3 linked regions of the Xenopus tropicalis genome follow. The protein of the gene in region 1 interacts with the protein of each later gene in a pairwise test. Links are inferred from orthologs where the notes say so. Each region holds a gene or a part of one and is shown in the gene's direction. Other genes may lie near its edges.

What was found. The genes of interacting proteins can lie anywhere in the genome.
Region 2: the proteins of zfyve19 (region 1) and cchcr1 interact in binary tests that used the Homo sapiens proteins (3 or more experiments, as listed by UniProt). The link is inferred for Xenopus tropicalis from reciprocal best matches to the Homo sapiens genes ZFYVE19 and CCHCR1.
Region 3: the proteins of zfyve19 (region 1) and vps4b interact in binary tests that used the Homo sapiens proteins (3 or more experiments, as listed by UniProt). The two-hybrid records come from large-scale screens. The link is inferred for Xenopus tropicalis from reciprocal best matches to the Homo sapiens genes ZFYVE19 and VPS4B.

Annotation. Positions count from the first base shown.
Region 1 is NC_030684.2:115,170,623-115,174,277, forward strand, and holds part of zfyve19 (abscission/NoCut checkpoint regulator), read left to right. Parts: intron 1-617; coding exon 618-732; intron 733-1,274; coding exon 1,275-1,481; intron 1,482-3,281; coding exon 3,282-3,358; intron 3,359-3,655. UniProt on the Homo sapiens protein: Key regulator of abscission step in cytokinesis: part of the cytokinesis checkpoint, a process required to delay abscission to prevent both premature resolution of intercellular chromosome bridges and accumulation of DNA damage.
Region 2 is NC_030684.2:75,143,664-75,147,418, forward strand, and holds the start of cchcr1 (coiled-coil alpha-helical rod protein 1), read left to right. Parts: upstream 1-1,151; 5' UTR 1,152-1,532; intron 1,533-3,755. Other genes in the region: tcf19 (transcription factor 19), read right to left, coding at 182-464. UniProt on the Homo sapiens protein: May be a regulator of keratinocyte proliferation or differentiation.
Region 3 is NC_030682.2:85,893,039-85,896,793, reverse strand, and holds the start of vps4b (vacuolar protein sorting-associated protein 4B), read left to right. Parts: upstream 1-1,357; 5' UTR 1,358-1,507; coding exon 1,508-1,534; intron 1,535-3,755.

The DNA of each region.
Region 1 (3,655 bases):
TCTTGAATACATATATGTTAAATAAGACAGGTATCAGGGGGTATAGGTGTAAAAAAACATATTCATTTGTTTATTCAAGTACATGTCTCTTTAAATAATTATACTTAGGGGCTGATTTACTAAGACACGATTTCGAATCCGAATTGGAAAAATTCCGATTGGAAACGAACATTTTGTGACTTTTTCGTATTTTTTGCGATTTTTTCGGCGTCTTTACGATTTTTGCGTAAAAACACGATTTTTTTGGCGTCTTTACGATTTTTGCGCAAGTTTTAACGCTACGAAAAAATCACGACTTTGCGCAACTTTCGTAATGGCTACGAAAAACACGCGTTTTTACGCAAAAAATCGTAAAGACGCCGAAAAACTCGCGTTTTTACGCAAAAATCGTAAAGACGCCGAAAAACTCGCGTTTTTACGCAAAAATCGTAAAGACGCCGAAAAAATCGCAAAATTACCGATCATTACGAAAAAAACGCAATCGGACGCATTCGGCCCGTTCGTGGGTTAGTAAGTGTGCCCCTTTGTGTCAATAAACCTTTATAAGAAAAAAACATTGAGACGACATTGTTGCATTGGTACTTGGGATTGATACATTTTAACTACCTGTTTTCTAGGTTCACCAGCCACCTGACACCAGAACACAGGGCCAAAGGGCTGAGGACTTGCTGACTCAGCTGAACGAAGAGGTGGCCATTGATCAAAACTGTGAGGAAGCTCCTCAGTCACAAGGTAACTGACACCTACATTGTAACACTAGCAGCACTCACAGAAGAGGCTAAAGCTGTAACAGGTGTTTTTTTCTGTTAATATATTCTTATTATTCTTCTGTGAGGGGCAATAAAATATGTTCAATCTTCTGTGGTAGTTAAGTCAGCAAAATATTGATCTACTTGTTGATTAACTGCAATACACATTCATTGGCTCATGTCACAATTATCAGTAGTTGCCACTTGTTACTGGTCAATTTTGTAGGTAGGAAAATAGGTTTCAATGTTTCTTGTGGGATCGTAGTAGTCTACTTAACCCATGGAATACAAAGAACCTTATTTCTTGTTAGCTTTAATTAGCAGTTTATTAACTCCTTGTGTGACATAAGCCATATGGCATGATGAAACATGCTATTCACTAAATAGGACATTTTATTGCATTTACTGTAAGTCAGGTATGGCTTTAACTCTCAAATGTGTATGACTTGATATATGCTTTTTCTGGTAAGTACTTCTTTTACTTACCCATTTAGTACTTCTTTTTATTTCCCATTTAACCCTTAGACTTTAGTGCTGCACCTAAGAATGACCTAAATAGAGTAGATGGGAAGGACAGCTGGGCAGAAATGGATCCTGCACAACTTGAGGAAGAGAAGAACAAAATCCTGTCACAAGCTGCAGCAGAGCTAAAAGATGAGAACACAAGGGCAGAAAAGTTCTTGGAGACAGCCAAACGGCTGGCTGTGCTACAAGGCAAAGACCCAGACAAAGGTATATATATACTAACTAGACCAACTGCTGTTTGACACAGAATTCCTTATTGGCCAGTACCCACATTATAAGGATTTATGACTCGCATGATCCTAAATAGAAATGTCAGGCCAAAAATTGAAAAGAGTAAAGGCCCCCATACACGGGCCGATAGAAGTTACCGATATCGGTCCATTGGACCGACTCGGCAGCTTATCGGCCCGTGTAGGGGCAGAAACGAGGGGCCTGGCCGACCGATATCTGGCCTGAAATTGGCCAGATATCGATCTGCCAGGTTAGAAAATCCAGTCGGATCGGGGACCGCGTCGGCTCGTTGATGCGGTCCCCGAACCGACTGCCCCATGGCTGCAAATGTAATCCGATCGTTTGGCCCCAGGGCCAAACAATCGGATTATTTTTTTTTAAAGCTACTTTCTACCCGATATCGCCCACCCGTAGGTGGGGATATCGGGTGAAGATCCGCTCGCTTGGCGACATCGCCAAGCGAGCGAATCTGCCCATGTATGGCCAGCTTTAAGCTTTGAAAGACAAATGTATGGGCAGCACCATGGCTGCTGATCTCATCTATATGCTGACAGCTGTTTAAAAGGAAACCATAGTGAGAATAAAAAAAGGTTGTAGTGTTCCTTATTTGTTTCTTTACGGTCCTGCAACTTGGATAATAGGAAGGCATAAAGATTTTCATTTCACCATATTTTATTATTCTGATTTGATATTGGATAGATTTTGAAGTACTGAAGAGTTTTAATTGTACCGTAAACATCTAGGGTTGACAAAGGAAATTATTTGTGCCCAGGTTTGTTCTTAGGTTTTAAAAGCAATATTTTTCCATGTAATGGGTTTAAATATATGAATGAAATATATCTAGTCCAATGAATCCTTTTTTTTTTTTTTTTTTTTGTTACTGGCTGTTATCCTGCCAACCACCCCACTGGTGCGTGTATTTCCCAGTTCTGCTTTTTGCATGGCAACCTTTTGTTTCAGAATTAGTGACCTTATTATTCTTTGGGAGACTGTATTCAATTATGCCCAATGCTTGATAATACTGTAAAGATGATTTAAGGAAGTGTTACGTGCTGGCAATGAAACCCACAGGAGTGTGGTAGCAGCTATTCATTTTTGCATTTATCAGCTTTAGCCAAATAGATCCATCTTTAATTTGTCTCAGAGGGCATAGCTTATTTGATTGGGGTTTGCACAGTCAAAACCAATCCCAGAGAGGACTGAAAAAAAAGCATAACTAGAAATTGTTGGGTTGGCACGGTCCAGCTTATTATCATTAAAACGAACTGAGGGACAATTCTGAGCGTTTTGCCGGCCTCCCACCGAGCTGAAATGTTATAGAGGCAGAAAAACACTAGGATTTGCCGAAGACTTAAATTACACTATATCTTGATATAGAGAATTTATATCTTTTCTCTTTTCATTAAAACTACAGATACCAGGGAATGCTGGAAGTTGTAGTTTTAACACAGCTGGATTGCAGATTATCAAACAGTGCTTTATATTGGAATATTCCTAACCCTAGAAGTACTGTAAAGAGGAAAAACCTTATAAGAGAAAAAGGTGATGATGGTGAGGGCATAACTATAATAAAGACCTGACCATGCTGTTTATTAGTTGGTTAGTATCAAGCCCCAAAGAAAGGAGTTATTCCTATTATGTCTTATTCTCTGTGTAAAATGAATGAAGATACCACTTTATGGACTACTAGTGTACAAATACAACAGATTTTTGTTCTTCTGTATGTTTATACTACAAACTATATTCTGTCACTGCTACAATATGCTTTGTTTGCAGTTACTATAGACAGCTATAAACTGCCTGACAGCGATGAGGAAACTGAGGAGGAAGCCATACAGAGAGTGCTCAAGCAGGTTGGCTATATTATATTCATTTAGTGTGAACTGAATGTTATTGTGGTGGGTATGAGAACATTTACTTTAAGGAATACTGTCATAGGAAAACATGTTTTTTTTCCAAAAAAATTTTTCCATTTAATTTTGAAATTTCACATGGGGCTAGCCATATTCATTTTCCAGGGTGCCACAAACATGTGACCTGTGCTCTGATAAACTTCAGTCACACTTTACTGCTGAGAACAATTGGAAGGGAGCAAGATAGCAGCTCCCAGTAGGTATCAGAATAGCACTCAATAGTAAGAAATCCAAGTC
Region 2 (3,755 bases), about 40 Mb from region 1:
TTACCAACACAGCTAAGTAGGGTGTGTGAGCATTGGCTTGGGATAACAAACATAAAGGGCGATAGGTGGAGTACAATGAGCCCAAAACAAAGAGAGCCTGGGCATACCTAAGAAATAGTTGTTCACCAGATAAGAGTGATGAAATCTCTACATATCCTGAACTATTTGGCTACAAACTTACCAAAGTGAGTGCAGCTTTCCAAGTTAACCTTCCAGTCTCCTGAGAGCTCCCGCTCTGCATGTATTTTTGCATGGACAGCAGGTTTTCCAGGGAGGGGGACATCACATAAATCATGCTGGGCTCCCAGTCGGTAGATGCAGCATGGCGAGTCTGGCAGGAAAGTATACAAATCTCTGGACGCTGTGCTATTTGCATTTATGCTTGACTGTCCTGGGCTTGAGCCCATGCGCAAAAGCTGGAAACAGGGCTGTACCTGTGTAAGCACAACTTCTGACCCTACCATGGCAGCCTGCCAATTTTCTGACCAACCCACCTTTTTCCCACTACCTTAATGGAGTCCCTTACCCACAATGAAATACTGTCCCTGCTAGTCTAAATATATAGATTTTATTTATAAGTTTAGGTGGAGCTCTTTGTCGCAGTGCAGCACACTAATACTTAATAGCAGCCCTAAACCTCGCACAGAAGAACCATCTCACCTAATTCTATCAGCAACACAATGCCCTTGTACAGAACAGAAACTAGACCGACTAAGGCTGCCTAACCTAACACTGCAGACCTCAATATAGTTTGCATCCCACACTATTACAGTAGATGTACTCTTCATGCACAAATCTCCCCCTAGCAATTACTTCCCATGGGAGTCGCAATATAGCGGGGGAGACTGAGTGCGTGACGTCACGGTTCCCACCGAGCCGCCGCTACCAGCTGAGCCCAACTCTGACCGGGACCACGGCGGGAAATCAGAGGAAGGAAGCGCGCCTTTGAAATTTGGCGCGTTATCGCCCATAGGTTGACACCCACCTCCTTGTAACCACGCCTACAAACGAACTGTCTGGCAAAAAAACACTGTACCTAGCCGACAACAGTTTTACTCACTTTATACTGATTGGTTAAGAGCTCTCCGCGCCTGTTTTTTTTTACCAGCCAAACTCTCGCGAAAGAGACTTCGTGTCTTCTATGATTGGCGGCTTAGTTTCCTCTGTGCTTATGATTGGATAGCAGCTACGCAAATATATCTTGCTTAACTTTATTGGAAACAAACAAATACGAACAGTGAGTGGGTAAAAGAAGGTTGCCAGGAGGAAGGATTTGTTGTAGTTCTGTTTGGAATGGTGTTAGTTATACGGCTGCAGTAGGATAGGGGATTGGTTCCCGGGCTTAAAGCCGCGAAATTTGTTGATCGCAGAAGGGAAAGCGTACAGAGGAATGTATTATAGTTCCATCACAGTCATGGGTCGGGTTGTTATTACCATGCTATCCATAGATGTATGCTCTTGAGTGGCGAGATTGTTATTAAGATCTGTTGGGAAATAGAGACTTCAAGCCTATATTCACTCAGTAGTAGCAGGTAAGCAAAACACAAATGTTTGCCAGTGACGCCAAGATTTTTTACATGAACTTATGTTTTAGAGTGGAAAATTCTGAGAAAATATGCAGGTCTTTTTATTTGTAAGTTTTGTATTTAGCAGCTGTCCAGTTTGAAATGTCGGCAGCAATATGGTTACTAGGCACCTGTTTACACTAGCCACCAGCAGTTGATTGAATGAGAGAGTGCAATATAAAAGAAAAGTACCTGAATAGAAGTGAAATCATTTAAAATAGGGCACACTAAGCCCCGCAACCAAAACTCTGTATTAAAGCTGAAAAGCGGCAGAAGAGAATTGTACATAATCCAAAAAATTGAAAGACTGGTTAAAAAGTTTCTAAGGATAGGCCATCCTATAACATAATACAGGTATGGGACCGGTTATTCAGTATGCTCAGGACCTGGGGTTTTCCGGATAAGGGATCTTTCTGTAATTTGGATCTCCATAACTTAAATCTGCTAAAAATAATTTAAGCATTGAATAAACCCAATAGGCTTGTTTTGCCTCCAATAAGGCTTAATTTTATCTTAGTTGGGATCAAGTACAAGGTACTATTTTCATTACTGAGAAAAAGAAAATAATTTTTTAGAATTATTTGCTTTTAATAGAGTCTATTGGAGATGGGCTTGCTGTAATTCAGAACTTTCTGGGTAAAAGGTTTCTGGATACGGGATCCCATACCTGTAATAGGTAAATTAAAGGAGAAGAAAAGCTAAAAATCACTGGGAGTGCCACGCATACGCAGCAGAGTGAAAAAGCTGGATTTTTTGTTAGTTCAGCTTTTTACTCTACTGCTTGTGCGCAAGCAGCAAGAAAAGAACGAGAATGGCTGGCTCACAGCTACCCCGGGCTGGTATGCTTTTCTCCTAACAGGAGCACCAGCCTGGGATAAAAAGTAAGCCATTACAGTCACTGGTGGGTGCCCCCTGGCACTCCCAGTGATTTTCCCTTTCTTCTGCTTTAAGCAACAAAATGATAAAAACACAAATTTAACAATTTTTAAATATATAAAGGTGACCTTTAAGGACAAGGAAAGCTAATTTCACCTAGGGTGCACCTCCCAGTGAATTCAGTCACCTATGGGTGTAGTTATTAACATTTGATACAGATGTCATCAGTGCATCAATGTCATCCGGTTGCTATGGGCAATATCACTGGTGATCAGGGTTGGACTGGTGGGTGCAGTGCCCACTGGGGCTCCTGCAGGTGCCCCAGCCAGTCGCGTCCCCTAACCCCCCTGCAGGGCCCCCACCTGACATCCTCCCTGAGCATGTATAAATTGAACGCGTCAGGGGAGGTACAGTCAGTAGGGGGAGCGCCGGATTTTTCCTGGTGTCCCAGTCCCAGTCCGACCCTGCTGGTAATGTTTGTCTCTGATGTTAATAAATACTCCCCGAGCCTGCACTCCTATGAAGGAAAAAAAAAAAAAAAGTAATTTCTAATGGAGTACTGTACTGCAGTGCCATTTTACTTCCCAAGCTCCCCTCTCGCAGATCTATATTTGGGCATTTGTAATTTATTAGAATAGGAAGAATGTTAGTTGATTTTGCATATGCATAGGGTCATACTGGGGGGTGCAGGGGCTACTGCCCAGGGGCCCTGCACCCCCCAAGGTACCTCCGCCGGCCACATCCCCTGCAGGGGCCCCCGCCGCACACCCCTAACCCTCCCCCACCTGACGTCATCCCCTGATTAAGCGTATGTACAATGCATCAGGGGAGGACATCGGTGGGCAGGGGAAGCAGAAACAGGATCGAGTCTGGGCCGCTGGGGCCCACCAAGTATTTTTCCAGTGTCCTGGCAGCCCAGTCCGACCCTGCATGTGCAGGTATAAGTCTAGCAATCCGAGGGAAAAACGTAGCAACTGGATTCACTGGAACAGTGAATTCACCCCTGGTGAATTTAGTTTTATTTGTTCTTTAAAGTTATACTTCATGTCATTTAATTAAATATGTAAAACATTGAAGGCAAAATATTTTCAGTATATTCTGAAAAATAGTTTCTTTTTTTCTAAAAGCCCTAAAGAAAAATCTTTTTAGCACCACCGTGTCCACTTCCACTCTAGGTTGCAGGATAGATCACATTTGTGCTGTCACAATTATTTTTTTTTTCTGGATCCTTTATGATAAGAAAAATTAGACCAGCCTACAAAGACTAACATAAGTAAAGCCAACAGACTTGGTCCCTCTGCACCGAGTCGGCAA
Region 3 (3,755 bases), on another chromosome or scaffold:
TAAAATATAGGCACCCTATGGTGCCTATATAATAAAAAATAACCTCTCTAGCCGCTGCCAGATGATACTTGTGCAGATCTGGTGGTGGAGGGTGGAGTGGGGGGGTATAGTAGAGGGTGATGTCAGTTGGAAGTGCCGAGAAATTGGGGAGTGATAAGATCCAGTGCCTAGAGTGGCACAGGATCTAAATACAGCCCACCAGATAAGAATTAATATTTCCTTTTAAGAACAAACTAGTTCATACCCTATATTAAACAGGGGCACATATGCAAAACTGACAGGGGACAATAGGCAACAGTGCCTGTATGAAAGGGTACTCCCAGCTAACCTCCTGGTTGGAGCCAGAACTTGCTCCTACTATCTTAGCTTACTATCTCACTCTCCTAGAGGGTGATATTAAGGGGTTCTTCTATAATTGCTATTTCTCATTCATGGGGTCCCTTTCCCAGACTTCTCTAGAGATAAAATGGATTCTCTAGGGTAGGCTGGCTTTACTAGAGCCCTGTTGATTCCAGGCTCAGAGGAACTTCCACCTGAGTCAACAGATGCAGCAAAAGAGGAAGACACACCCCTTAGCTAAACACTAAATGAGAGTGCAAAGGGAGTGGTCAACCAAATAACCAATAAGGCAAAGGACAAACTAGATAGATGGGTCTTTGCCCAGTAACAGCAACTAAGAGGTTGTAGGGTTTAAAGCCATAGGGGCATATTAACCTTATGGGTCCCTACAATTCTATTCTATGAATTAAAAGAAACATGTTCCTATTTTTTGTTGTTACAAAAAACGAATGGGACATTGTTCTTTACCACAGTACCTACAATTTTAATGCTACTTTGTATTATTTAGCATTTCTATTCAGGATTTTTTCTATGAATTTCTTTGAATGAAGACCAGTTGCATATTGTCTTAGAATCCCACTACATTATACTTATATTTAATATATGGTCAACTACTCCTTTGTGGTGAATTTATTAGTTCGAGACCATAAACCTTAATAAGCCACGATGGCCAATATATCTTTTGACGGGACTGGAAATAACTTACTCACAAAGGTCAGGCTAAAGCCTATTCAGTGTTGTGTCAGTTCCCCGCAACCAACCTTTATCATTTAGAAACCAATAAAGTCAGGTGCCGGTGAGTCATAAGTACAATGACTACATTTGCTGCTGATCTGTCAGCAACCACCCTACTCCTTGCGCTTGCGCACCAGCATCCTTCGGTCGAAACCTACATCGTAAGTACCTAAATCAATCGAGGTGCGGCTTTAACGTCACGATAAACCTCTTCTGGGTAGATGATTGGTTGCTGTTTTCGTGACGTACCCGGAAGCATGTCCGTAATACGGAAGTGAGACGACTCCCGATCATTTTGAGTACCCGGAAGATCGAACGCTATCGGGGCTTTGGCGTTTAAACTTAGTTACCACGTATCCCGAAAGACGGAGGTGAACGAGGCAGGTTGATATATAGAAACGCCCGCGTTTTCCGGATGAAAACCATATAATCTATGGCTGCCAACGGGACAAATCTACAGGTAACAAGGGAAACGTAATATATTTTTGATGAGATCAAGTGTCATCTTGTTATATTTGGGGCGTGATATGTGTGGACAGTACAAGATGTTATTCCAAATATGACTTCAATACCCAGTACATGTGCGCACAGGTACATAAGGGACATATTGTAGTCGAACACTTTACATTGGTCATTTGTGTTGGTGAATTTCATCAGATGCACATGACTGACGTGACATTGATTTGCTTGTAATGTAATATATGTCATTATTATTTATTTGGGTTGTTCACCTGTAAGCTGATTTAAGTGGCTGCGGCTACACCTGTGTGTGAACCAAAACATTTGATCCCAAATTCACCAGATTGTTACTTGGATTAGAATGGAGCATTATATCCGACCTATCACATGGAGAGGAAACTACTTTTTGATATTTAACATGTTGTTAAGATACCTGAAGTCACTTAATTAAAACATTCTATGTGGGTTCTGTTTACCCTTGAAGTGAAAATATACACCCTTTTTTATCTAAGTGCATTCAGGGTGCAACCCCCAAAACGTTGATGTTGCACAGGAGGTCTCAATATATGGGTTAGGCTTCCCTACTGAATGTAAATTGAGTGTGTACAGGTCCTTATACATATTCCTATAACTGTAAAACTAAAGGGCATTGTGAAAGTCGTTGTTCAGCTTTGGGTTAACTTTTAGTATGATGTAAAGTGCTATTCTGAGACAATTTGCAGTTGGTCTTCATTTTTTATTACTGGTAGCTTTTGAATTATTTAACTTTTTTTTCCCCAATTTTTCCTGTTTCCCAGTTTGAAATTTCAGCATTTTTCTGGTTGCTAGGGTCCCTATTTAGCAATTAGGAAGTGGTTTGGGAGATTGATAAACATATGAATAGTAGAGGGGCTCAATAGAAAGATAAGTAATAAAAAGCAACCACAATAATAAAATTGTAGCCTCACAGAGCAATAGTTTTTTGGCTGCTGGGGTCAGTGACCCCCATTTGAAAGCTGGAAAGAGGAAGGTAAATAATTCAACTTGAAAACATACTTGAATTTACAAAATAAAAAATTGATAAATAAGCCCACTAGGGTTTTTTTAAGTTAGCTAATTACATTGCATACTGAACTTAGTGTATACACAATACCTTGCACTGGGTGGTTCATGTCCTGTACCAGACAAATACAGAAGCTGTAGAACTGTACATGTATAAGTGAAAAAGGTAAGTGGGGGCCACTGGCCATATGACACAGCAAATTAGCCCTATGAGAAAAATGAAACTTTTTTTTTTTTTTTTGTAAGATTACGTATAGTCAAGTAGCAGTACCACCTCAGTAGTTTCAGAAACGAATGAAAGTAAAGTACATGCAGGCATATAAGGGAATTTCTATTAGTAAACCAGTACTAAATGAGCACAGAAAATCACATCATAATGTTTGCCACTTATTCAATCAAAAGATAAATGTTGAGGTTGTCTTACCTCCTCTTGTCAGGCCATGTATGCTATAAAGTAAAATAAATCAAAAACGGATCTTTTTCATTTAGTTTAATAACTTAAACTAAACTCTTACCTGTGAGGCACATTCAAATGTAAAAAGAGTTGGAGAGCAACATAAGCATTAAAAATGTTCCTGGGGCTACAGTACACCTGGTTTTTATGCAACCAAAACTTGCCCAAAAGCCTCCTTTGGGGCCACTGGGAGCAACATCCAAGGGACTGGTGAGCAACATGTTGCTCATGAGCCACTGGTTAATAATCACTGGTCTATCCCCTTTTCCACCATGTAAATGTAGAGACTAACAGCAGTAAGAATCTAAGAATCTTCTGTAAGGACCTGGCATCTTTCAGTGCTACTGCGCATACCCTGTCCCTACATCATCAGCTGGCAGCATTGCCAGTTGTGAATGTGTGTGGCCGAGCATGCGCATAAAGCTGCTCTGTCCTTAAAAACTCAAAATTTAAAAATTTAAATAATGGTTCTTTGTTTTGCAATGAGTTTAATGGTATAAAAACTTCTGCTGCCTTTTGGGAATGTAAGAGACATATTTTTAGCCATTTTTTTCCTCCAAAGTCAGTTATCAGGTTTTAACTCCAGCGTGGTGGTTGGGATATTACAGCATTGTCACATAAAAAAGACACTTCATCGAAGTGCATGAATCAGGTCCCATGTGTAAGGGTTTTAAATAATTTAGGTTGCATGGTAAAATCATCATGATATCCCTAATATGAAATAAGC